Anolis sagrei: one gene and its partners. The protein of the gene in region 1 interacts with the protein of each later gene in a pairwise test. Links are inferred from orthologs where the notes say so. Each region holds a gene or a part of one and is shown in the gene's direction. Other genes may lie near its edges.

The links.
Region 2: the proteins of keratin, type I cytoskeletal 13-like (region 1) and AMOTL2 interact in binary tests that used the Homo sapiens proteins (3 or more experiments, as listed by UniProt). The two-hybrid records come from large-scale screens. The link is inferred for Anolis sagrei from reciprocal best matches to the Homo sapiens genes KRT15 and AMOTL2.
Region 3: the proteins of keratin, type I cytoskeletal 13-like (region 1) and MOS interact in a two-hybrid assay, tested with the Homo sapiens proteins (2 studies listed by BioGRID and IntAct). The two-hybrid records come from large-scale screens. The link is inferred for Anolis sagrei from reciprocal best matches to the Homo sapiens genes KRT15 and MOS.
Region 4: the proteins of keratin, type I cytoskeletal 13-like (region 1) and NOC4L interact in binary tests that used the Homo sapiens proteins (3 or more experiments, as listed by UniProt). The two-hybrid records come from large-scale screens. The link is inferred for Anolis sagrei from reciprocal best matches to the Homo sapiens genes KRT15 and NOC4L.

What each region holds. Positions count from the first base shown.
Region 1 is NC_090026.1:39,015,351-39,022,335, forward strand, and holds the start of keratin, type I cytoskeletal 13-like, read left to right. Parts: upstream 1-3,983; 5' UTR 3,984-4,061; coding exon 4,062-4,622; intron 4,623-6,985.
Region 2 is NC_090023.1:225,789,434-225,796,566, forward strand, and holds the start of AMOTL2 (angiomotin-like protein 2), read left to right. Parts: upstream 1-4,119; 5' UTR 4,120-4,372; intron 4,373-7,133. UniProt on the Homo sapiens protein: Regulates the translocation of phosphorylated SRC to peripheral cell-matrix adhesion sites. Required for proper architecture of actin filaments.
Region 3 is NC_090024.1:49,588,148-49,594,221, forward strand, and holds MOS (proto-oncogene serine/threonine-protein kinase mos), read left to right. Parts: upstream 1-4,502; coding exon 4,503-5,552; 3' UTR 5,553-5,572; downstream 5,573-6,074.
Region 4 is NC_090034.1:37,461,590-37,469,148, reverse strand, and holds the start of NOC4L (nucleolar complex protein 4 homolog), read left to right. Parts: upstream 1-4,532; 5' UTR 4,533-4,568; coding exon 4,569-4,679; intron 4,680-6,936; coding exon 6,937-7,057; intron 7,058-7,559.

The sequences.
Region 1 (6,985 bases):
TTACTCAGTTACACAACCTTTGGTTCCTTGGGGAGACCCCACATTTTTTTTTTCACTTTCTGTCCTTAATTGAAGTGACAGTGGAGACCCATTTTCATGCATGAGTCCTGATATGGATGCATCACTTCTAACCTGCATCAAAGAGGACATGCAGTATTCCCTCACTACTTCGTGATTCGCTTTTAGCGGACTCGCTGTTTTGGGTTTTTTTGAAAATATTAATTAAAAATATATAATATTTACATCCAGTGGTGGTCAGGGACTCTGGAAGTGCAGCATCTGAGGTGCGGTGGGGAAGGCCTGCCTTCCTGGCCTCCACAGACCAGGCTCCGGAGGCTCTGCCGGGGTCTGTGGAGGCCAGGGAGGGAGGCAGGCACCCTTGGGATGGACCAGGAGGTGGGTAAGGAAGTGCGGGTAACAAAATAATATATAAAATATATAATGTATAAATATTAAAATTAATATGGCATCCCTACTTCACGGATTTTCACTTATTGTGGGTGGTCCTAGAATGTAACTCCCGTGATAAGTGAGAGAACACTGTATATGCTTCAGTTAACACAGCTTCTGTAAAGCTACTTTTTATAAAGTCTTTTGGTGGGTGCCTTGCCTCCCCTCCCCCAGCCTCTCTCTCTTGTTTTCCGTTTTACCTGAAGTTTTGAGAGGATGATCAAGATCAGCTGGAGAAATTTTCTGGACAAAATTTGAGTATTGGATAATAGTACTATGTCTACTATAAACGATGTAATAAATTTAACATAGGAAAAAATTGGATTTTATTGTAGGTGATCCTGCTCTAGCTGTGTGTGCTTAGATACAGCAGCCAGTTTAAACAGCAGCTGTCTCCATAATCGCTTTCTGAGCAGCATTCAAAGCAAAACAGAAAAAAAAGGGCAAGGCAGACTGACATGTAGAAAAATGATAGAACTATATGTTTCACCACAGAATGGAAATCATTAGAAGAAAAGAGACTCTTGAAAGCAGGCATGTAGCTGGGGGGGGGGGCGACTTCAGCCCCCCCCCCCCCAAATTCTCATGGTGGTCTGCGAGAAGGCCTTACTGGTACATTATTTAAACTGTTATGTTTATTCATATCATGATTTGATCACCATGGAGTAATGATACAAAAGGTTTGCTAGGGTAGACCCTCTCACTCAGACTCAGCCCCCCCCCTCCCCCGAATCAAAATCCTGGCTACAGGCCTGCTTGAAAGGGAAAGAAAATCATTTCTGAATGATTTGGAAGAACTTTCAAGTGGTGTCTAGGAGATTCAAAATGTTTTTTGTTTACTTATGCAAGGCGCACCTAATTTGGTTGTTTCATTTCTTATGTGCATAATATTAGTTTTGGATAAAAGATTTGCTGAAATATGTTGAACCGATTTTTAGTTGTATAGGAACCCATCCCCATTCTTTCCATGTTATTTCTTCCTCTGGTTCCAACATTTCAGTTAAACAACTAAAGTCCAGGAACACATCTTCTACATTAGCCAAGATATGCTTGTATAGGTTAATTTAGCCTTGGATGCAAATAAAGAGTGACTTTCTACCTGGAAAAACATGTGGTGCAGAATTGGCACTTCTATAAGCATTCAAGTGTATGGTTATAGGTTGTACAAAAAGAACCCAGCAAAAACAAAGGTTTTTCTATGATCACAGCACTAATTTGTATGGTTCTGTGGACGTGTGGTTCTTATCTTTCTGTACCAATTTTGCATCAGGGAATTTTTGTGCTACAGGCATTTGTTTGTCTTCTCTATACTGTACAAGTGCAATTCTCATCTTGGAGGAAGGAGGGGGATGCAGTAGCACATTGAACATATTTGTGTTTATGAAAGGGAGCAGCCACTGCTTGATTTACCATTATGCTTTGGTGTGCTTGTTGACCAGTGAGACCCATGTTCCTCCCCCCCCCCCCCCCACAATTTTTTTTTACTATGGATTTTACTTATGTAGTGAAATTCTACATTTGAAGGTATTCTGTTTCAGAGCAATTCCAGACATAATGATAGAGTTGATAATATATTGGAGTGTGACATAAAGAAGGCAATGTAGGCCTACTGGACTTACCTCCTTTGGGGCCCAAGTAAGGGCCTCATAACTTAACTAGCCCAGGGCCTCATTTGTCCTAAATCTAGCACTGGGAGCAGCAGTCATGATGGGCAGCCCTCATGACACTGGAACAATGGATACTCTTGAGTTTTAGTCCAGGTTTGAAAGATGTTGTCTAAGATTTTGTGTGGGAACATCTGACTTTGTAAGATTCTGTAATGTCAGCATTCAGCCATTATGTTATTATACAGGGACATCAATAAGTGACCAATGTGTATCAGGACCAATTTATAATAGGACCAGTGTGCATTGAGATCAACATGCATTGGGACCAAAGTGCATCAGGCCAAGAAACTTTGGTCCTTTTTTGTGCTTTGGGACACCAGCTATATACATACTCTGTGTTAGAGGAGCCTAGCCCTTCTCCAAAATGTTGACCATATTTTTAAAATAAGTTTAGCATCTTGGATTGTGTATTGAAAGTTCTGACTAAAATCTAGAGTGGATTGACGTAAAATGGATTGACAGGGAGGAGAGCGCTTGACCTTCCAGGTGAAGCAAACCAAACCTTTACTTGACATTAGTGCCAGTCCAGCCTGTCTGCACCCTAGTTCCCAACTTGGGTGTGGTAGGAGTGTCTGTGAAACTGGATCATGGCAGCAATGGGAAGAAATGAAAGCAGGCAAGTGCTCTTCTATCACTTTAGTATCCATCATCTTCACCTTGATTGACAGATTACCAAGTCTCCAATGCACATAAGCTCCTTTGTGCAATCGCTCGGTGAATGAAAGAATTGGTATAGAGTAGGAGAGAGGCACGAAAAGAGAGTGAGTTAAAAGAGAGCTCTAACACTAGAAGAAATGTTGGGTGCATCCAGTGTCTCATAGTGCTCTCAAAAATAAATCTACTTTCCACTAGTATGAGGTCCATTTTCATCATAATGGTTTTCACTTCGAAATTTCACATAGCTTTTGCAGAACTTAGAAGTACAGCGTATATCTTGAAGAAGAAATACAAAACAGATGAAGGACCCATTCTACCTGGAAAATCTCTTACAAATGCCTAAATTAAAATGAAATAAACTGCATAGAACACAATGAATTCTTGCAGTTTTCAGTCACTAACAGAAGAATCAATGTGAGGTATTCATCTGAGGCTTATGAATTCTATATTCTAGTTCCCACTGAACAACAGAATTCACTGAATTTCTTTGGACAGGTCACTGTTTGTCAACTTCACCCACTTCACAGGTCTGTAATGGGGATAAAACATAGAAGAGGAGAGCCCTGCATGCTACCTTTGGCTTGTTGCCCCCAAAGTAAGATAGAAATATGCAGTAAATCAAATAAATGCAATAGTCTAAAAGAGATGTTACCAAACACCCCCACTTTTTATTTATAAATAAGTATGTGCATTTTCAAAATCCAGATGGAAATTGGAGGGGGGAGAGAGGTTGTTGAGAGAGAAATGTCACAGCAAATGAGCCACAAATTGGTTGCTAAAAGACAGAGAAGGTAGTATGGACATCTGGGAAATTAGGGGAATTTTTGCTAAAATAATTTCATTCTGCATGCAATAGTTTCCATTGGCATGGCTTCTCTATTAATGAAGTTTCAGTATGTATTTCCTTCACTTTGTATCAAATGTTTGAAAGAGAAAAAAAGATATGGATACAGAAAGAGAGATTGCGAATGGAGTAATCCAATCTCGGATGCCAATTGAGACAATTTTGAACATCTTTTGTTTCATTGAATTTAAAGAAAAATATGTATAGAAAGCACAGCCCCTCTTTTGGATGAGCTGTTACTTTTTTCCATGCAAGCACATGTTTTCAGCTTGCCTCACCCATGAGGGTGTGTTTTGGCAATATGTGTGCTTTCTGTTAGCATAAACACGCCCCACAATGACAACTATAAATGGAGCCCGGCAAAGTTTCAAAGCCTAGCTCTTGCATGCTCAGCCAAGCCAAGTAACAGTCTTGCATCTGAACCTTCACCTATTGTTCCCAGAATGTCTACCTACTATAGTTCCTCTGCTTCTTATGGTGGTGGTATGGGTTTTGGAGGTGGGGGTGGCTCCAGCCGTGTGTCCTCCGGCAGCCATGGTGGAGGTGGTGGCCGGATGTCCTCCTCTTCTGTTAGGTATGTCTCTTCTGGAGGAGGACATGGAGGTGGTTATGGAGGAAGCTTAGGAGGCGGGTATGGTTCTGGATTCATCTCTGGTGGAGGTGTTGGCTTGGCTTCAGGATATGGTGGAGGTGCTGGCGGAGGCTTTGGTGGAGGCTATGGTGGTGGCTTTGGTGGAGGTGCTGGTGGAGGCTATGGTGGTGGCTTTGGTAGTTGCTTTGACTATGGTGGTGGAGATGGAGTCCTCCTTACTGGAAATGAGAAGGTGACAATGCAGAATCTCAATGACCGCTTGGCCAATTACCTGGATAAGGTGCGGGCTCTGGAAGAAGCAAACACTGACCTGGAGGTCAAGATCCGAGACTGGCACCAGAAGCAGGCCCCTAGTAGTCCAGCTAAGGACTACAGCCATTATTACAAGATTATTGAGGATCTCCGTGACAAGGTAGGACCATCCAGATGAAAATGTGTAAAGCATGGAGGGGGATTTCATCTTCCAACTTACATCTGTAGCATGATTTTAAATGATCCATGTAATAGAGCATGATATATTGTACAATGTGATGTTTCTCTGGGGATAAACAGATCTAATATAACTCCAATTTCTGCTTAAAAATCAAGCCAAGCAAAAAGGAAACCTTTGTCTTTCTGTTAAAAAGAAAGAAAATGAAATGAAAAAGCAACCTGATGGTACTAAGAAATAACACAACCCAATTTCATGAAATGTTACAAATGCAACCAAATCTAATAAGGTTATTCATTTTGTGATGCAGAAAAAATGAACAAATGGGAAACCAAAGAAGCATGCTGCTTCTTTGATTGCAACAAAACTCTAAAATATGTTGGATTCCCAAAAGTTCAACTGAATAAGATGAGATAACTGCAGTTATCAGCTGTGTAAATAGTTTTTAAGATGTACATTGCAGGTATTCGAGTCTGTGTGATGTAGTGGCTTGATTGTTGGACTACAAGTCTAGGATCCAAGCTTCAAATCCCTGCATGGCCATGGAAACCCAACTTGGGAAAGTCACACTTTCTCAGCCTCAGAAGAAGGCAATGGCAACCTTCAGCTGAAAAAAATAATTGGTAAAAATAGTCCCGTAATAGTCTTGCTCTGCGTCACACAACTTGAAAGTATACAACAACAAAGCATGAACTGCTTTTAAAACCAGTGGATGGGAAATGTTTGAAGCTCTTCTTCATGGTTTTGTGAAACACATTTGTGGAAGATCAAAATGCATTTGAAGGGGGGATAAAAGGGTGGCAGTCCAAAAGGAATCTCCCCCTGCCTCAAAGTCCTAGATAATTGTGCAAATATAGTGTCGTTATGCTTGGCAGAGAAACCTTCTCATACTTCTGAAAGCTTTAGGTACTTAATTTCTGCTTTTGGGGGTAAAGCTAAACTAACAAGAGCAGAACCTGTAAAAGTACATGCAAGTAATTTCTGTGAATCTCTGTATTCTATGATTTATCCATCTTCTTAGATGATATGTCAGAAAGCATGAGCCTATACTTTACCTTGAATAAAGCCTCCAGCCAGGAAATGTTTAGCTTCTGTTCCAGACTGGGCGGGGCTGGTTGTGGTTAGTCCACAATAAGGAAAGGCATTATATACAGGTTCAGAGGTACTCCGATGCTACTTTGCAACATCAAAGGCATTTTGAAATATTTCCAGATATGATTTCTACATCATAACTTGATAGTTCTATAGTAGATGAATAATCACTCACGTGATCAAAAACAACAGTGTCTAGGAATTTCCTTTGTTGTTGAGGGTAAGGCAAAAAGAAAAATCTGCCATCTTTCAAACATGCAAGTCAGTCATTGGGTCGTGAGTTTTTTGATCTCTTGAGAAGCTGTCCAAAACCAAACCAGACCACCTCTCGATCAATATAGTCTGCTCCAATTGGCATCAGGTCTGTGGTTTATCTGGAGAGGGGATGAAACCAGAAACTCACGTCTGTGCAACATGTGCTCTACCATCGAACTCCTTACTGCTCATTAAGCCCTTTATGAGCAATAAACTAATGCATTATTGTAGTGTTTTATACCTAATTTCATTATTATTGGTAATAAACTAAGATCCAACCCATGATTATACTAATTTGGTTCAGCAGACCACCTTTAAGTGGTTCTCAGATGCTGATTCAAACTTGTCAAACCATTATTTACAGATATTGATAGCTGACTGATGCTTTGGTTTAATATTCCCTCTTATGTCCAAGGAAGTTTGGGTTCTGTTCTTTGTTTTTGTTTATCTTAAACTTCATTAAGATCCATACAACTCACTTTGGTATAAAAAGAGGGCTCCTTGCTATTTTTCGTCCATATGTTCTCATTTATATTCATGAACATTTCTGAAAAATAAAATTATGGAATTGCAAGAGACCACATGGACCATTTAGTCCTCCTGCCGCACAGGAATACACAATCAAATCACTCCTGAAAAATGGCCATTCTGCCTCTTCTCAAGGCTAGATCATGCCAAGCTCCCTGAATTGTTCCTCAAATGACATGGCTTCCAGACCTTTTGTCATTTTGTTTTCCCTCTTCTGCATAAGTTTGAACTTGGATTCAAAACTCGACAAAGTAGATTTTTTTTATTTCCAGATTAAAAAGTAGGATCCGGGGTAGATACAGTTTAGGGTGCAACACATCTTCCAAAAAGAGCAATAGTACATGTGTCTACACTGTACTGCTGCTAGAGGAATGAAAGTATACATTAAATGCCTTTAAAGTATACACTAAATGTCAGGACATTGATCTGATTGATTTCATATGGCACATTGAACTTTTATTCAGGATAGC
Region 2 (7,133 bases), on another chromosome or scaffold:
CTTCAGAAGAAAGGTAAAAACTTGGCCGTGGGATCAGGCCTTCAGAGAATAGTGCACTGCAATTAACAGATTTGGAATATATGGAATGACTGTGGAACACCTTAGACTACAACTATGGATGGTGTGATTTTAATATGGAATTGAATGTTTTAAAATGTTTAATATGTTTTAAGTTTAATCTAATTTAATTTTAATTTTTTTGAATTGTCAAGGCCCAAGGCCACTGGGAGCAGGAGAGGAGGCAGGACATGAGAGGAGCCTCCCACAAGGATGTTTTAAAAAATCAAAAAAAATCTGGGTGTCCCTTGTGCAACATCCTTGAAGACAGTCAATTCTCTCATACCAGAAATGACTTGCAGATTCTCAAGTCGTTCCTTACACACACCCAAATCATATTTACAGGAGCTCCCGGTGGCGCAGTGGGTTAAATCCTTGTTCCGGCAGGACTGATGACTTGAAGATTGAGTTGCTGACCTGCAGGTTGCCGGTTCGAATCCAACCCGGGGAGGGAGCGGATGAGCTCCCTCTGTCAGCTCCAGCTCCCCATGCAGGGACATGAGAGAAGCCTCCCAAAAGGATGGTAAAACATCAAAACATCCGGGCCTCCCCTGGACAACATCCTTGAAGACAGCCAATCCTCTCACACCAGAAGTGATTTGCAGTTTCTCAAGTCGCCCTGACACTCACACACAAAAACAGGGTCTTATTTGATGTGTAAGATAAAGATATTAAGACTATTTCCAAGACTTTTGTCATTTCTTGTTACATTGGTGTGATATATTGGTGTCCCGAAAAATTTGGAAAACTCTGCTCTACCCAATAACTGTGTAAACTGGCCAGGTTGTCCGAATGCCCAATCACCTTCTCCCAAAGCAGTTACTCTATTCCGAACTCAAGAATGGAAAATGAAATGGCCCTTGAGCGATCTAACCACAATTGCTGCACAATTTGAAAAGGCACAAATGGGAGGCAAAAGGGAGAAACGTGCCAAGAGAAAGGCACGTCAAGCCTACCCTGACCAGAACCTCCTTCGGTCTGGAAACCGATGTCCTCACTGCAGGAGAACATGCGGATCAAGAATAGGGCTCCACAGACACCTATGGACCCACCACCAAGACACATCTGGAAAACCATCATCCTAAAGCTAAGAAAGATCGCCTAAGTAATTATAATTATATTATATATATTATATTATTTATTATAATTATTATTGTTGTTGTTTTATTTATACTTTGTTTATTTATATTTATATTTTACTAGCTGTACCCGGCACACGTTGCGGTACTCAACCTTCCCTCCCTCTTTCTCTTCTTTCTTTCTCTCCTTCCCTCCCTCTTTCTTTCCTTCCCTCTTTTTCTTTACCTTCTTATTTCTTCCTTTTCTAACTGTTTCTTTTCTCGCTTCCTTTGCTCTTTGGTTCCATCCTTCCTGGTCTCTTTCCTTCCTTCTTTCCCTCCCTCTTTCTTTCTTTTGTTCCTTCTCTCCTTCCTCCCCCTTTCACTTTTTTATTTCCTTCTCTCCTTCCTTCCTTCTCTACCTTTCTCTTTCCTTCTCTCCTTCTCTCCCTCTTTCTCTCCCTCCTGCTCTCCTTCCTTCCTTCTCTATCCTTCTTTCTTTCCTTCTTTCTCTCCTTCCCTTCTTTCCTTCCTTCCCCCTTTCTGTGTATGTATTTTGTGTGTGTATATGCATATGTGTGTATATATGTGTGTCTGTGTATATATATAAGTGGTTTTGCACATGTAATGTATTTGGGGGGTGGCTTTTTAAGTCCCTTCTGCTGTGTTTCTCAGTGTTTTTATGAGTGATGGTCACTTGTTCGTCTGTTAGGGGTGTAGTGTCCAAATTTGGTGTCAATTCGTCCAGTGGTTTTTGAGTTCTGTTAATCCCACAAACAAATATTACATTTTTATTTATATAGACTAACCATCCCCTGCCACACGTTTCTGTGGCCCAGTTTGGTGATCTGGAAAATAAGTGTTGGTTTCTAATATATGTAATTTCTTTATGTTTCTGGGTAAACAGCATTTCTTGTTGTTTCTTTGTCAGTGTTGATGTAGAGATTATCTGGTTTGCCTACTCTGGAACATGCAACATATTATTGTCCTTTAGGGGGTCCCTTTCAAATCTATGATACTATATCTCTCTGTGTGTGAATCATATCTATTTCTATCTATGGCTGGATGGCTCTTTGCCCTGGTGAAGAGAGTTGAACTGGATGGCCTTAAGTATTTTCTGTTGGTCATGGGGGTTCTGTGTGGGAAGTTTAGCCCAATTCTATTGCTGGTGGGATTCAGAATGCTCCTTGATTGTAGATGAACTATAAATCCTAGTAACTACAACTCCCAAATGTCAAGGTCTATTTCCCCCAAACTCAGTCTGTGTTCATATTTGGGCATATGGAATATTTGTGCCAAGCTGGGTCCAGATCCATCATTGTTTGAGTCCACAGTGCTCTCTGGATATAGGTGAATTATAACTCCCAAACTCAAAGTCAATGCCCACTAAAACCTTCTAGTGTTTCTGTTGGTCATGAGAGTCTTGTGTGCCATGTTTGGTTCAATTCCATAATTGGTGGAGTTCAAAATGCTCTTGGATTGTAGGTGAACTATAAATCCCAGCAACTACAACTCCCAAATGACAAAATCATTTTTTTTAGTGAAGGACATACATTGGATTGTTAGGTGTCTTGTGTCCAAATTTGGAGTTAATTCCCTCAGTGGTTTTTGAGTTCTGTTAATCCCACAAACGAACATTACATTTTTATTTATATAGACTAGCCGCCCCCTGCCATGCGTTGCTGTGGCCCACATGGAGGTTCTGTGTGGGAGGTTTGGCCCAATTCTATCGTTGGTGGGGTTCAGAATGCTCTTTGATTGTAGGTGAACTATAAATCCCAGCAACTACCACTCCCAAATGTCAAGATTCTATTTTCCCCAAACTCTACCAGTGTTCACATTTGGGCATATCAAGTATTTGTGTAGAGTTTGGTCCAGATCCATCATTGTTTGAGCGATCTCTGGATGTAGGTGAACTACAACTCCAAAACCAAAGGACACTGCCCACGAAACCGTTCCAGTATTTTCTGTTGGTCATGGGAATTCTGTGTGTCAAGTTTGGTTCAAATCGTTGGTGGGGTTCAGAATGCTCTGTGATTGTAGGTGAACTATAAATCCCAGCAACTCCCAAATGACAAAATCATTTTTTGAGTGAAGGACATACATTGGGTTGTTAAGTGTCTTGTGTCCAAATTTGGTGTCAATTGGCCCACTGGTTTTTGAGTTCTGTTAATCCCACAAACGAACATTACATTTTTATTTATATAGACTAGCCACCCCGTCACGCGTTGCTGTGGCCCAGTCTGTGCACATGTGTTTTGTGTGTGTATATATGTGTGTATATATTTGTGTATGTGGTTTTGCACATGCATTGTAATGTAATGTTTATTATTTAGCTTTTTAAGTCCCTTCTGCAGTGTTTTTCAGTGTTTTTATGAGTGATGGTCACTGGTTGGTTTGATATGTGTCTTGTGTCCAAATTTGGTGTCAATTCGTCCAGTGGTTTTTGAGTTCTGTTAATCCCACAAACGAACATTACATTTTTATTTATCTATAAGATTATTATATTTATATTTATGGTTACCTTGTAACCCTACTTTCCAGATAACCCTCGCACATTACCAAGCCTTTTGTCATTTCTTGTTACATTGGCCTGATACATCTACGTGTCCCGAAAAGTGTGGAAAGCTCTGCTGTACCCAATAGCTGTGTAGAAGCAGGAATGCCCACAACGGGGGTTTTAAGAGTGGGGTCTCTCTCGAAAGCGGGTCCCAGGCGAGTGGGGCGAGGGCAGGGGAGCGTGGCGAGCGGGGAGGCGTCTTGGCGACCTTGCCGCGCGCCTCCTGCCGGGCTGTGGGCCTGGGCAAGGTCATGCTTTGCAGCGAGCTGCCTGCTTTTGATCCCGGGGGAAACCTGAAAACTCTCGCATTCCTGGCATAGCAGCGCCGGGCGCCGCCTCTCGCGCAACCCAGCCTCCCTGGCTCTCCTTGCAGCTGGAGGAGGAGGAGGAGGAGGAAAGAGGGAGGGAGGGAGGGACACCATTGAAAGTCGCCTTCCTTCCAGCAGGGGGGAAAAGGAGGAGGGAGAGGAGGCAGGCAAGCTGGTCACATTCACACACACAGAGAGAGGCAACCTCGCATTCACCAAGGCGCACTGCTCAAGGAGCGCACGCACGCACAGCACTCTCCGCCCGGGCTTTGTGGCAACTGGTCGTCCTCTCCCCCGCAAACCAGAGGAAAAGCACCGAGTTTGCGCTTTTGGGAGGCCCGGGACTACGTTGGGAGAAGGCAAGGCTGTGCTGCTGCTAGTATGGTCCGGTGAGTATTCCCCTCACAGCGGAGCCTTCATTCATGTCTTCCCAAAATGTGTGTGTATGCGCCCATTCTTCCCCAGCTTATTGCAGCCTTTGCAGTTCTTGGAGGGCTCACTCAACCCAAGAAACTCGCAATGTGGTGCCTTCTTTAAAAGCGAATCGTATCGTCAGTGGTTGTCGAAGGCTTTCATGGCCAGAATCGCCGGGTTGTTGTGAGATTCCTGGGCTGTCTGGCCATGTTCCAGAAGCATTCTCTCCTGACGTTTCGCCTTCATCGATGGCAGGCATCCTCAGAGGTTGTGAGGCCTCACAACCTCTGAGGATGTCTGCCATCGACGCAGGCGAAACGTCAGGAGAGAATGCTTCTGGAACATGGCCAGACATCTTAGGAAATTCATATAACAACTCTACAATGGTTGGGTTGTTGTAGGTTTTTTGGGCCATATGGCCATGCTCTGGAAGCCTTCTCTCCTGACGTTTCGCCTGCATCTATGGCAGGCATGCTATGGTTCATAGGCTGAGTAAATCCATGTCTTCTTGAAGCCTGGGTGTTATGCACTCTTCAGCAGTCCTGATTATTCTTTGGAGGCTAAATACATCTGTGTCTTTTGGGGTCGAAATGTCTTGCACTCTTTAACAGTTCATACTAGCCTTGATTCTTTGAAGGCGAAGGCAAAGCATATCTATTGGAGTCAGAATGTGATGCCCCCTTTAAGAGCCAAGAGGGATGATTCTTTGGGAGCAAAAAGTCAGATCTGCACTGAATTTATGATATGGATTGACACTGACCACATTATTTATTGAGTTGTTTATTTATATCCCGCTTTATCTCTCAAAGTGGCTCACAATCCAAAATATTGCAACTTAAAATATACAAATATACAATAGTAAAACAGTATATCATTATTTATTATTATCATATCAGTAGTACTATATTTAATGTATTAGTATTATATGACAATATTGTTACTATATACTACTATATTGCATCATGTATTATTAGTATATTGTGTTGCATTAAAATATAATATGTATCTATTTCATATATTAGTATTATTTTACAATATTATTACTCCATATTATATTGCATTACAATATTATTATATGTATATGTATATATATATATATATTAGTATTCTTATATTACACTATTATTACTATATATTACTATATTATTAGTATTATATTGCTTTACAGTATTATTATATGTATATATATTAGTATTATTATATTACTATATTATTACTCTATATTACTATGTTTTATTAGTATTATATTGTATTGCATTACAATATTTTAATGTCATATGTATATATTAGTATTATATTGCAATGTTATTACTATATATTACTATATTGTATTAATATTGTATTGCATTATAATAATATTATTACTATATATTACTATTACTATATTGTATTATTAGTATTATATTGTGTTACATTCTAATATTATTAATATTATATGTATATATAATATATTATATTATTAGCATATAACAATATTAGTAATATATATATATATATATATAATATTATTAACTTGTACTATACCACTATATTGCAATATTATTACTAATATTAGGAATAATGTGTTGTTTGGCAGTGCAGGTCCAGCCATAGTCAAGCCATGCCTGAGGTCAAAATGTTATGTACTCATTGAGAAGCAATAGTAGCCTTTAGTGATTCTTGGAAGGCCAAGTCACGCCATGGTGAAGTGGGATGGTTGCACTCTTGGTTTTCGGGAGAGGTTTCTTCAATCCCTTTGGCTGGCTCTGGTTCTTGCCCGCTTTCTTTGACTGGGTTGTTCTTGAGAAAGTTGGGCAAGCAAGGCCTCAATGTACAGCTGGAGTGAGCGAGGGTTGCTTTGAACTCCTTCCTGTGCCATTCTTTGCTTAATTCAATGTGCTTGTTTGGAGGTGTCGGTTGTTGAGTTGGGGGTTCAGTTGTGAGTATGCATCCATCTATACATTGTGCAAGCATGCTTTGTGGTTATCTGGAGATATGTCTAGTTTTGGCTTTTGTCTCTTCCCGGCTGCTGCTGCTTCTCATAGCTGCGCGAGCCCTGGCTTCTCACTTCGCAGGAATGTTAATTGCAATCCAAACCCGGATGATGTCAGCGCAGAGCTATGTGGAAAACAAAGAGCGGCGGCTGCAAGCGAGAAGTAGGCAAGCAGGCAGGCGGGCAGCAGGCGGCAAGGCAGAGGGACCAGGCGGAGGGCTCTCCTGCTCTCTTGCCTTGGGCTTAGAAAGACTGCTTTGGGAAAGTCAGCTGGAAAGAGGAGAAGGAGGGATGCTTCCCTTGGCAGCCATTGTAACTAAGGGTGCCTCTGCACCAGCCATGGGCAAACTTTGGTCCTCCAGGTGTTTTGGACTTCAACTCAATGAAGTTCAACAGGGACAAATGAAAGATACAGAATGGGAATGCCTGGCTGTACAGCAGTCCATGTGGAAAAGATCTGTTGCACCATGAGCCAACAACATGGTGCAACAGCTAAGAAAGCCCATGAGATTTTGGCCTGCATAAATCAGAACATAAATCATGCCACCCTTCTGTTCTGCCTTGCTCAGACCACACCTGGAATTACACTGTGTCCAATTCTGGGCACCACACTTGAAGGGAGATGTTGGTATGTGTCCAGAGGAGGGCGAGTCTGGAAAACAAGCCCTATGAGGAGCAGCTTAAAGAGCTGGGCATGTTTAGCCTGCAGAAGAGAAGGCTGAGAGGAGGCATGATGAGGGCCATGTATGTAAGGGAAAGTCATA
Region 3 (6,074 bases), on another chromosome or scaffold:
ATTTAATGCAATTAAATATCCTTCTAAGTAAATATGCATAGAATTGCAATCTCTACAAAAAGCAGTATTCTGAAAATACTATGTCCTGTCATAGCATAGGGTTGATCCTGTGCCTGTATAAAGAGAAGGATTAAGCTCTTATTTGTCTCATACACTGGTTTAGCGGCTTAAAATGACATGCCTCTTAGTAATAAAACCTACACATTATTTGCTATGAAATACATTGTGTAGGTTCAGCTGCCTATTTGTATCATGTCAGTATAGAATAAAAACTATCACCAGTTATACATTACAGAGAAGACAATTTAAAATAATGTGGAAAAAATGGGTTCTAATCCCTTAACAGTTATAAGGTTGTAGTGTGTTAAAAGGCCATGTTGTTATGAGTATTTAACCCTAAAATTGACACAGAACTATTGCTTATGGCATGCAAACATTTTCAATATAAGCTTCAGTGGTACAGTTGAACCAGAATGAATGTTTTATCTTCTCAGAAACACTCCTGCAAATATATTATAGTGGATCATGCTGCTAATATAACTTGGGATACAGCTCCTCTCATGGTGCTACAGACCTCTGTCTCATTTAGACTGATGTATTTTTATCCATAGAGAAAGGCCTATATTAGATTTATAGATGTATGATATATTTTTATACTGTGACTTAATTTGTTATTAATGAATTTTGTATATCACCATGTTTTCATATGCACTTGCAAAATGAGAATCTTGGACATGCAAATTTATACCCAAATAAGCCTATTTTCAAAACTAGAAGATGAAAATGAAAAGAGGGCTTTTGATATGGTGTGAAGTGAAGAACATGCTTGTCTCAAAGGGCCCATTCGATCTTGGCAAATGAAAACTATTTTAAAAGAATTACATCTGAACATGATGTGGGTTGCTGAAATTATATTTTTAGATAGTGGAAAATGTTTGGACTTGTGGGGAAAAAACTGTTTAATGATACAGATTTTGAGTCAAAATAGAAAAATGCATTCCAGACCGAATTTGTGTATTTCAATAAAAATTACTATCCTGTGATATGGGAAAATGTGTTGCTTATCATGTATATGTACTTTAAAATGTATTCACAAACTACTGTTGTATTTGTATAAAATATAGACAAAAGATTGCATATATATTTTTGTGTATAAGCTCTGTAAAATAGCTATCACATTATGAAGCTGCAGCAAAAATTCAATTTAGGCATTCATATCCAAAGAAACAGACTATTTATTGTCCACATACCCTGATAAAAATATAACTTGCTGCTATTAAACAATAGTGCTGCAGCTTCTTGTGGCCTACAGTGTTATGTTTGCTGTACAAAAATATGTGAACTCCACAAAATATCAATAAAACTACAGAATGGTTTTAGTTATGTAAAATATGTGTATTGTTTTTGTGTGTATGATTATGCAAACAGTTACCAAAACACAAGAGAATTATATTCTCAAAACATTTTGTCATAGATCAATAGTAAATTGAGAACTATTTTTTTTAAAAAAGGTGGTATTTTCGGTCTATGATTTGCCCAAATCAAAGGTCTTGAAAACAACTCTTGAAAATGAGTGACATTTCAATAATAACAAAAATTATTAGAGGCTTATATGAATTCTGTACATCACAGATAATCAATTATTTTGGGACACAAATACAATAATTAAAGGATTGATGAGTATGCTTTAGAGTAGGAATTCCTTTTTTGTAGTCATCTGTATGATGTTAATATACAGAGCCATACCAAGGGTCAGTCTGATAATTTTTCATAGGCGCTAGAGTCTCTTAGCCTCTTTTGTATCATCATATATTACTACAGAGTAAAGGACATTCCCTCCAACCAGAGATTTTCCACAGGGGTTTACAGAATATCTCTTGAAATTAATCTTCAGTAGTGAAGACCTAGCCATATCAATTATGTTCAATTTGAATAATGCTCTTGTAACTGACACTGCTACAACATTCCAGTAATAGGGACAAGGGAATATCAGGTGTGGTAAATGCTAAATGAGAAAGGAAAACAAAGCTAGTTACGTCATCTCTACTGCCTTTCCTTCCTCAGTAGAATGAATCTGATTCTACCTTAAGGCAGAAACTTCAGTAACTACAATTTACTACTGTGAGGTGTCACAGAATTAAAAACAACTGCAGAGTGCTTTCTCATTGCACTGGAATTTGGAGGAAAAAAATGAATTAGCAGGAGGCTCACCCAGGTATCACAAAGGGAGTCCTGCTACAGTAGTCCAGCCTCCTGTTTCACAGTGGCCAAGCAAAGCCCATAAGGGTATAGTTGCAGCAGCATACCTCACTGATGTTCCTAGTAACTGATAGTCATTTGTTGTCATGTGCCTTCAAGTTGACTCCAACCCCTTCAAGGGTTTCCTAAAAAGTGTATTTCGTGTTTGTCTATGGCTGAGAAAGTACGACTTGCCCAAAGGTCAGCCACTGGGAGTGGGGATTTAACCCTTGGCTCCTAGAATTCTAATCCAATACACAGACCACTACACCATACTGCCTGTAAAGGTAAACTGCCTCAACATAAAATTTATATTTATATACTGCTTTTCTTCCAGTGAAGTCAACATGGCATGCATGGCTCTGGACAAACTTTTATAATCACAGGAAACCTCTCAAGTACATTTTTCTAACACATTTGGCACAAGGTCACTCAGTGAGTTTCTTGAGTAGTAGTCATTCATAGCCTTTGGCTTCCACAAATTTGTTTGATCCCCTTGTAAGACTATACCAGATAATGACTATTATAACATATCATGGTGTTTATTTTCTGAGTGTGAAATTTTCCATAGTTGGAAATTATGCAGCCCCCAAGTTGTTGCTGAACTATAGATAACAATATATCTAGTTTTACCAGTTAGGGATGCTGGGAGATTAAATATCTGCAGAGAGACATGATTCCCATCCCAACTATGCAAAGATGTACTTTATCCGGCTAGAATTTTTCAGCATTGGTGTCTAGCCTCAGGTTCTAATATCATGACAAGTAAATAAATTGTTACTTTCACTATCTCCAAATCCCAACATAAAGACACATTTACTGAGACTTCCGTTTACTGAGCACAGATGACAGAATTTGGGGTATACAATCGGAGAAAAGTTGACTTGCTTGATTTGCTTTCAGAGATTAGATTTGCATAGAATATTCTGGAATACATTGGAAACAGGGTATAAATAGAAAACAAATATTGTTCTTACTTTCAAGAGGAAAGATGCACTACAATACTAAATACATCACAAAGCTCATTTAAGTAGTTCCTTTCAAACTTATTCTTGCAACAGGTCACATACAAGACAAGACAAGGTTGCCCCCTTGTGTAGAAAGTTTGCACTAGACTTCCTTTGTTAATATTAAGTGCACATCAAGAAATCCATAGGATGAATTGTGTTTAGTAGCCTTGTACCAATGTTTTCCGTAAACCAAATATTTGTCAGTCAGCCACATTCTAACATCATAAATTTGCCCATCATTCAATAAAATTCATTTTACATTAAAAGTGGCAATTATGTACTATCAGTTTAGCATCTGCAGTCCTTTCCAAAACACATAGTTTTCTTCTCTAGAGGGGATTCTGTTAGTACAACCCAGCTGCCTATCAGACTAACTAGCTGAGTTCGTGGAAATGGGCTTGGAGTTGATGTTGGAGTCACCTGACTCCAACACCAATTTGTCAGGTGCAGCTCAGAAACTCATGACAAACATGGTCATATCCCAATTGATCTCCAAACACACATCCATCAGGTCACATCCCTGATGCTGTTTTAAGATTTGAGCATATGGATCTGTGGGTAAAGGTAGTTAATAATGTTGTCATTGATAGATAATTCCCTTGTCAAAGTTAGTATCACAGCTGTTATCTGTCCCTGTATGTGTGGTGGACCTATTAAGGTGGTCTGCCCTTTATGATATTTTTCTGAAAAAAAGTTGTCCTTAACATGATACGCAACACACTGAAATTCAACAGTTACACTTTTCTCTTGCATTAAGAGATCATTGATTGCTGAATTTCTGCCTTTTTACAACTGTTAATGACAAAGAAGGTGGACAAGAAGTGACACACTTTCATTTCTGCTTCTTTTTTCAGATTTATAGGAAGCTAAGAAAAGTTATACAAAGATCTAATATCAAAGTGATAAGAAAACTTTTTCCAAAGTAGAGTTATGAAGGAATAATTCCTATAGAAGTCAATGGAATTTACTTCCAATTAAGCATTTTTAGGACCATGCCGTAAGTGTTTTGGGAATTAGGGTTGAACTCTCAGTTCCCTTTAATGGCCAAAGTTAGTAGGCAGTAGTGCTTAAAATCATCCTCATCTGAAACTAATCAGAGCTTGTTGGCTGTAAGTTTGATGCAGAGGTTCTATGAAAGAAATTTGGGAGCAAAACAGAGCAAACTCATGAAATACTGCTTAATTGTCCTGCATCCTTTTTTTAAAAAGAAAGAAGCTTCTTATTTTGTTTGCCAAGGGTTGTTCCTCCATAATTATGCCATCTCCTCTTCCTCATAATCGTCTTCTTCATCTACAATTTTCTCCATCTGTGAATGCACGGCCCTGCAGTAGTCCCTTGGTGTTTCCAGCCAAAGGTGAAAAGTTTTTTTGTGTTGAAGGTGTTTCACCCAGGATTCGCCGACTACCAACTCGTCTAGCTTGGTGTTCAATAGACTGGGATCAGTTGTGTTTGCTACACCCCCTGGGATCAGGTGGCTTTGGTTCAGTCTACAAGGCTATTTATCGTGGAACTACAGTAGCAGTAAAGCAGGTGAAGAAAAGCAGTAAGAACAGTCTGGCATCACGGCAGAGTTTCTGGGCAGAATTAAATGTGGCACATCTTGACCATAATAATGTGGTACGGATTGTAGCTGCTAGCACATGTGCCCCTGCTAATCAGGACACTTTGGGTACCATAATAATGGAATATGTAGGTAACAGTACTCTACACCACGTTATCTATGGGACTGACTGCAAGACAGAAAAGGGTAAGGATGATGGGCTTGGATTTGGCCATGTATCTTTGAGCATAACTGAGGCATTAGGCTATTCTTGTGACATTGTAGCAGGTCTCATCTTTCTACATTCACAAATGATTGTGCATTTGGATTTAAAACCTGCTAATGTATTCATCACTGAACAAAATATTTGCAAACTTGGAGACTTTGGATGCTCCCAAAAACTACAGGATCTTGAATCATCAAGTCCACTACTTTCTCAACAAGGTGGGACATACACCCATCGTGCTCCTGAACTCCTTAAAGGTGAGAGAGTCACTCCTAAGGCAGACATTTACTCTTTTGCTATCACACTCTGGCAAATGGTTACACAGCAAGAACCTTATTTGGGTGAACGCCAGTATGTACTCTACTCTGTAGTAGCTTGTAATTTGCGCCCTTCACTAACTGCAGCTGTGTTTAAAGGTTCAGCCACTGGACAACAGCTTGAAATGTTAATTGAAAGTTGCTGGAAATCTGATGTTGCCAAACGTCCTAGTGCAGAACTTCTCCTCCAGAATATTCATGCTCTGTCTCTAAAAGTGTAAAGCGTTACGGTCTTGTATGTGTCTCCACTTTTATTGTTGATAATTTTCTTAGTTAAACTAGTGTGTTGTTGCTCTGACCTCTCAAGATTCAGAGCAAATTAAAAAAATGTTACTGGTTTTCAAATTGTCTACAAATAAAACTTTTCGCAAAATATTAGTAGTAGGTGTGAAAATGCTCTTCTGAGTTAAATGACAGCCTTTTGCAGTTTATTATGTTATCAATTCTTATAACAATCTACATAGTCTGGAGGCATTCAGATCTCCTAATCTCTAAGACAGGCATACTCAAACTCCAGCCCTCCAACTATTTGGGCCTCCAGCTCCCAGAAGACGTAGCCAGCTTGCTCAATGGTCAGGAATCCTGGGAGTTGGAGATCCAAACAGCTGGAGGGCCACAGTTGGGAGAATGCCTGGTTTAAGATATTAAATTTGGGCTCTAGTCCTCAGAACATTCAGTGGAGGAGCTGGTCTCATTAATACTCATGGAATTTCTTAAGATCAGGCCTATCTGATTACAGTTTG
Region 4 (7,559 bases), on another chromosome or scaffold:
CAGTTGGAATTTCCAAGCAGTTTTCAAGGGCAGCCCCACGTAGAGCGCATTACAGTAATCCAATCTAGAGGTGACCAAGGCATGGACCACCCCGGCCAAATCAACCTTTGCGAGGTACGGTCGCAGCTGCCGCACAAGTCTTAGTTGTGCAAAAGCCCTCCCGGACACCGCCGACGCCTGAGCCTCAAGCGTAAGCGATGAATCCAAGAGGACTCCCAGACTGCGGACCTGTGACTTCAGGGGGAGAGTAACCCCGTCCAGCACAGGTTGCCACCCTATACCCCGATCCGGTTTACGATTGACCAGGAGGACCTGTCTTGTTGGGATTGATCTTCAGCTTGTTCGTCCTCATCCAGATAGCCACAGTGGCCAGGCACTTGTCCAGCACTCGAGGGGCCTCCTTTGTAGGTGGAAATGAGTAATAGAGTTGTGTGTCATCTGCATAGAGATGGCACCTAACTCCAAAACTCCGGATGACCTCTCCCAGCGGTTTCATGTAGATGTTAAAAAGCATGGGAGACAAGATAGAGCCTTGCAGGACCCCACAGGTCAAAGGCCAGGGGTCCGAGCAGGCATCTCCCAGCTTCACCATCTGGGAACGACCCTCCAGGAAGGACCGGAACCACGTCAAAACCATGCCCCCAAGACCCATCCCAGAGGGTCGACCCAGAAGGATACCATGATCGATGGCATCGAAAGCCGCTGTGTTGTTTTGGTTGCCCAAAAACATCTGCTCACCCTTAAAACATCTTGGCTTAAATCATGCTCTCAAGAGACAAAAAGAAGCAGACTTCTGTAAAGGTAACATAGTTGGTTTACTCATAAGCTTAATGTATTCAGCATACAGATACTTTGCTTATCGGTCCAGTTACAGATAGGATTTGAAGTAGTTTATCTGTGTGGATTTCTTATAATCAGCAGTCCATAATCTAAAGCATCTCTCTGTTCTGAGAGTCTAATGGAGTTTCTGTCTAGTCTGAAAGTCCAATGGAATCTGTATAGTCCGAGAGTCGGAAAACATAACTGTTCCTACTGAAGTCTCTAAGCATACAGTTCCTACTGAAGTCTAAACTGTACTGTTTCTAAACTGGAGTCTGAACAAGCCCAAATTTGATCACATGACCTGCAGTCCCTCCCACAACAAAGAGTAAAAAGCCTCAAATCATACAAGGCTTATGGATATGATGTCTGACTTTAAAATGTCCCTTAACGTTTCCCCAACCTCAGAGCCACAAGTGCACAACAACCCCTGTCTGCACGGCAGATAATCAAAAGTGATAGGAGTTGTCATTCAGCAACATTCAGGCATGCAAATTGGGTAAAAATGAAAGATCACTGCCCACAATGTAAAAAACTATGTACAGGCAGTCTGCAAATTACAAACAAGATTGGTTCTGTAGGTCTGTTCTTAAGTTAAATTTCTAATTTGGAACAGGTACATTTTTAAAATGTAACTCGAGCCATACACACAAACATATATAAGCTTTGGATAGCATAGGGAAGAGTTAACGTCCCTGTGGTGTTTCCTTTGCTGTCTGTGCACCTGTTCAGAAGATTTCCTCTCACTTTGTCCCTGTGATAATTGGATTTTGAAAAAAAAAAAGGCTTGTGAAAACAAGGATTGATGGGAAAGCTTCAGTGGAGACCTCTTCCCCCCATGATAACTCTTTCAGGAATGGATTTCCCTTCCTCGGGGTAGATTTCTCTCACTTCCTGTTGTCTCAGCCTTGTTCTGAGCTAGGAGTCATTTGTAAGTCGGATGTTTGTAACTCAGTGACTCTGTAGTTGGCCCTCTGTATCTACGGATCCTCCATCTAGGGATATTTTCAATCTATGGATTCAACAGCCCTTTGAAGGGAACTGTAAGGTTGATGGGTTTGACAGCCCTGCCCTAAGGAAAAAGCTATGATCTTCAAATATAATGTCAAAAAGTTTTAGCTTAGACATATCTCCTACACCCAACTTTCAGAGATGTAAAGTGGGAGATGAAACCTGACCTCTACTCATTGTCAATGTTAACAATTGTTTTTCGCCTCAGTTAACAAAGATGTGTTCTCGGTCCAGATGCAACTGGAAAGAGAATCATAGAGTTGGAAGAGACCTCATGGGCCATCCAGTCCAACCCCCTGCCAAGAAGCAGAAATATTGCATTCAAAACATCCCTGACAGATGGCCATCCAGCCTCTGTTTAAAAGCTTCCAAAGAGGGAGCCTCCACCACATTCCGAGGCAGAGAGTTCCACTGCTGAATGGTTATCACAGTCAGGAAGTTCTTCCTAATGTTATTTATTTATTTATTTATTTATTTATTTACTTTGCTTATATACCGCTGTATCTCAAGCCCGAAGGCAACTCACGGCGGTTCACAAACAGTAAAAACAGTAGAAACAGCAGTGGTTCCATACAACATATAACAATTGACTTAACACATTATCCATAAATTACCAATAAGCAATTACAATGCACAATTATTACAAAAAACAATGTACAGATGGAATCTCCTTTCTTGTAGTTTGAAGTCATTGTTCTGCATCCTAGTCTCCAGGGAAGCAGAAAACAAGCTTGCTCCCTCCTCCCTGTGGCTTCCTCTCATATATTTATACATGGCTATCATGTCTCCTCTCAGCCTTCTCTTCTTCAGGCTAAACATGCCCAGCTCTTTAAGCCACTCCTCCTAGGGCTTGTTCTCCGGACCCTTGATCATTTTAGTCGCCCTCCTCTGGACACATTCCAGCTTGTCAATATCTCTCTTCATTTGTGGTGCCCAGAACTGGACGCAATATTCCAGGTGTGGTCTAACCAAGGTGGAATAGAGAGGTAGCATTACTTCCCTAGATCTAGGCGCTATGATAGGGCTCATATAGGTCCTTTGAATGGCCTTAGTGTAATCTGTGTAGGCCAGGCATTGTAGATAAAGACCACCACTCTGAATAGTATCCAGAAACAGATTGGCAGCCAGTCGAACAGAAGCAGATTGAAGGGCCCTTTCACACAGCCCTATGTCCCAGAATATCAAGGCAGAAATCCCACAATATCTACTTTGAACTGGAATATCAGAGTCCACACTGCCATATATCCCAGTTCAAAGCAGATAATGTGGGATTATATTCAGCTGTGTGGAAGGGGCCCAAGTGGGATACATTACAGATCTCCAGCAACTGGCACACTAACTCTTAACTCAGTGTTTCTCAAGCTTCCTAATACCACGACCCCTTAATACAGTTCCTCATGTTGTGGCAACCACCAACCATAACATTATTTTTATTGTTACTTCATAACAGTAATTTTGCAACTATTATGAATTGTAATGTAAATATCTGATATGCAGGATGTATTTTCATTCACTGGATTAAATTTGGCACAAATACCCGATACGCACAAATTTGAATACTGGTGGGGTTGGGGTTTGATTTTGCCATTTGGGAGTTCACCTACAATCAAAGAGCATTCTGAACTCCACTAACAATGGAATTGAACCAAACTTAGCACACAGAACTCCCATGACCAACAAAGAATACTAGAAGGGTTTGGTGGACACTGACCTTGAGTTTTGGTGTTGTAGTTCACCTACATCCAGAGAGCACTGTGGACTCAAACAATTAATTAATTAATTGCTGCATTTGTATACCGCCTTTCTCAGCCAGAGGCGGCTCAAGGCAGCGATTTGATGCCATGACAAATATCAGGGTACAGTTAAAAACAATTATAAATACAGTTATAAAAAATTCAACATTTAAAATGTAGTATAAAAGAAACAATAATATCGATAAAACAAATCCTCAGCGTCTCCAATTGCATCAACAGTCATCCCCTGTTCGCTTTTCGTCTAATTATGTAAAAGCTTGCTCGAAAAGCTAGGTCTTAACCATCTTACGGAATGTTAGAAGAGAGGGAGCCGATCTTATATCCCTGGGGAGGGTGTTCCATAGCTGAGGTGCCAACACTGGTCCCCGCCAAACGCATTGGCGAGGAAGGTGGGATTGAGAGCAGGGCCTCCCCAGATGATCTTAAAGTCCTACATAGTTCATAAGGAGAGATACGTTGAGATAGGTAAGCCGGACCAGAACCCTTTAGGATGGATCTGGACCAAACTTGGCACAAATACTCAATATGCCCAAATGTGAACACTGGTGGAGTTTGAGGAAAATCGACCTTGACATTTGGGAGTTGAAGTTGCTGGGATTTCTAGTTCGCCTACAATCAACGAGCATTCTGATAGAATTGGGCCAAACTTCGCAAACAGGACCTCAATGACCAACAGAATTTTTCTGTATTTTTCTGATGTACTTTTGCGACACCCCCCCCCCCCCCTCCCTCCCCGGGATCCCGACCCTCGGGTTGAGAGATACTGTCTTGACTGCACATTGCATTCTTGTTCACTTTTGAAACGCGATATAAGCTCTCCACCTCTCGTCCTCGGTAATTCCCAGGTGCCCCAGCGGCATTGACCAATGAGCCTTTGGTTACGGGAAGAGCCGCGTGCGTGCTGGGCGTGGCGAAGTCGAAAGGCTGCCTGATTGGCCAGTCGGCCTTCCCCCCGCGCATGCCCAGTCAACCAAAGAAGGGATCATGGCGGCCTCGGTAGCTGAAGCTGAGGCGAGTTTGGGTGCCTGTTTGGAGGCGGTCCTGAGCAGCCGGAGCCATGCCAACCGCGTCTTTGAGGCCTTGGAGCTGCTGCAGGTGGGTCCGGAGGGTCGCCCTCCTTCTGCGAAGAGCTGCGCTCCAAAACCCTTGGGCACGTGCTTGGCCTCCGCCTCCCTCCAGCCCAGCCTGGCCTTTGGGCCCTCACGACACCACGGGCCACTTTTAGAACTAATGTATTGTCGAAGGCTTTCATGGCCGGAATCACTAGGTTCTTGTGGGTTTTTTCGGGCTATAGGGCCATGTTCTAGAGGCATTTCTCCTGCATCTATGGCAAGCATCCTCAGAGGCAGTGAGGTCTGTGGAATTAGGACAATGGGTTTATATATTTGTGGAATGGCTGGGGTGGGGCAAGGAGCTCTTCCTTGCTGGAGCTAGGTGTGAATGTTTCAACTGATCACCTTCATTAGCATTTGAAGGCTTGGCTGAGCCTGGGAAAATACCCTGTTGAGAGGTGTTAAGATGTGCCTGGTTGTTTCCTCTCTGTTGTTTTGCTGTTGTAATTTTAGAGTTTTTTAATACTGGTAGTCAGATTTTGTTCATTTTCATGGTCTCTTCCTTTCTGTTGAAATTGTCCACATGCTTGTGGATTTCAATGGCTTCTCTGTGTAGTCTGACATGGTGGTTGTTGGTGTGGTCCAGCATTTCTGTGTTCTCAAATAAAATGCTTTGTCCAGGCTGGTTCATCAGGTGCTCTGCTATGGCTGACTTCTCTGGTTGAAGTAGTCTGCAGTGCCTTTCATGTTCCTTGATTCGTGTTTGGGCAATTCTGCGTTTGGTTTTCCCTATGTAGTCTTGTCCACAGCTGCATGGTATACGGTAGACTCCTGCAGAGGTGAGAGGATCCCTCTTGTCCTTTGTTGAACGTAGCATTTGTTGGATTTTCCTGGTGGGTTTGTAGATTGTTTGTATGTTGTGTTTCCTCATCAGCTTCCCTATGCTGTCAGTGGTTCCCTTGATGTATGGCAGGAACACTTTTCCTCTGGGTGGATCTTCATCTTTACTCTCATGGCTGAACAAAATCTGGCTATCAGTATTAAAAAACTCTAAAATTATAACAGCAAAACAGCAGAGAGGAAACAACCAGGCACATCTTAACACCTCTCAACAGGGTATTTTCCCAGGCTCAGCCAAGCCTTCAAATGCTAATGAAGGTGATCAGTTGAAACATTCACACCTAGCTCCAGCAAGGAAGAGCTCCTTGCCCCACCCCAGCCATTCCACAAATATATAAACCCATTGTCCTAATTCCAACAGACCTCACTACCTCTGAGGATGCTTGCCATAGATGCAGGCGAAACGTCAGGAGAAATGCCTCTAGAACATGGCCATATAGCCCGAAAAAACCCACAAGAACCCTTTAGAACTAACTCGTAGGCTTCAAGGAAGGCTCTGTAAATGGGGTTTTAATTTTGTTGTATGGCTTTAATATTACACAGCCACTCCCCCCCCCCCCCATTTTTTTTCCTTTGGTGTCTTTGTTTTGAAGCCTGTTCCTGGGGTTCGTTGCGACACTGTTTCCGAAAATGGAATTGGATAGACAGCATCAGCCCTAGAATCACAAAATCCTAGAGTTGGAAGAGACCTCGTGGGTCATTCAGTCCAACCCTATTCTGCCAAGGAAAATCGTATTCAACGCACACCCGACAGATGGCCATCCAGCCTCTGTTTAAAAACCTCCAGAAAAGGAGCCTCCCGAACAACAACAACAAACCACACTCTGGGGCAGAGAGAGAGTTCCACTACTGAACAGCTCTTGCACACAGTTAGGAAGTTCTTACTAATGTTCAGGTGGAATTTCCTCTCCTGTAGTTTGAAGCCATTGTTCCATTGTGTCCCTAGTCTCCAGGGCAGCAGAAAACAAGCCTGCTCCCTCCTCTCTGTGACTTCCCCTCACATACGTATACATGGCCCTCATCATGACTCCTCTCAGCCTTCCCTTCTGCAGGCTAAACATGCCCAGCTCTTTCAGCCACTCCTCATAGGACTTGTTCTCTAGACCCTTGATCATTTTAGTCACCCTCCTCTGGACACATTCTAGCTTGTCAACCTTTCTATAGCATTGCAGTGCCCCTAATTGGACACAGTGTGATTCCAGGTGTGGTCTGACCAAGTCAGAATAGAGGGGTCGCATGACTTCCCTAGATCTAGACATAGACTCCTATTTTGTTTCTAACCTGGGGACTGCCTGTTCTACACAATGCTTAGTTAACCCAGTGTCTATCCCCACTTTTTTGTAACTGTTTGAGCAGATGTCACTTATTTCCGAACCTTTTCCTTCCCCATCTTCTCCCAGTCTGAGCAAAAGGAGATTGTTCTATGCGCCATCCGGATTTGCAGCCGGCTCTTTGGATCTTTGCTTGAGCAAGGAGAACTGTTTGTGGGCAAACTACCTTCCGAAGAGGAATCTCAGCAAGGTGAGGATATATCTGTTTGTAAAGAGCAGTTGGTGTGAATGTGAGAATGCAAATGATGCATGGTAGTTCAAATTCAGTTGCTATCATTGAGGTGTGAGTGCTGAGGCTCACATAGCCAAATGACAAAGGAGAAGATACCACCTGTCTTGGGTAAGTTCAAGGTTTTCAGAAGTAGAAGATTTCTTTAGAACAAAAAGGAAAAAAAATTAGGGAAATCTCAAAACAGTAAGAGGTAAGCATAAGATACATTACATTGTTGATTTAATGCAGTTTAACATCCCTTTGACTGCCATGGCTCAGCTGGCACACTTAAGACACAATTTAAAACCTATTTTTTCCAGATCTACCCAGTTTTAAACCATGAATTTTACATTTACATTTTATTAGTATTGGTATTTTAATCTTTGTTTTAGCTATCTATCTATATATGGTCATTTGTTTTATCCACATGTTTTAACTATGTTGTACCCACCTCAAGCTACATGGGGAAACATCCCTGTGA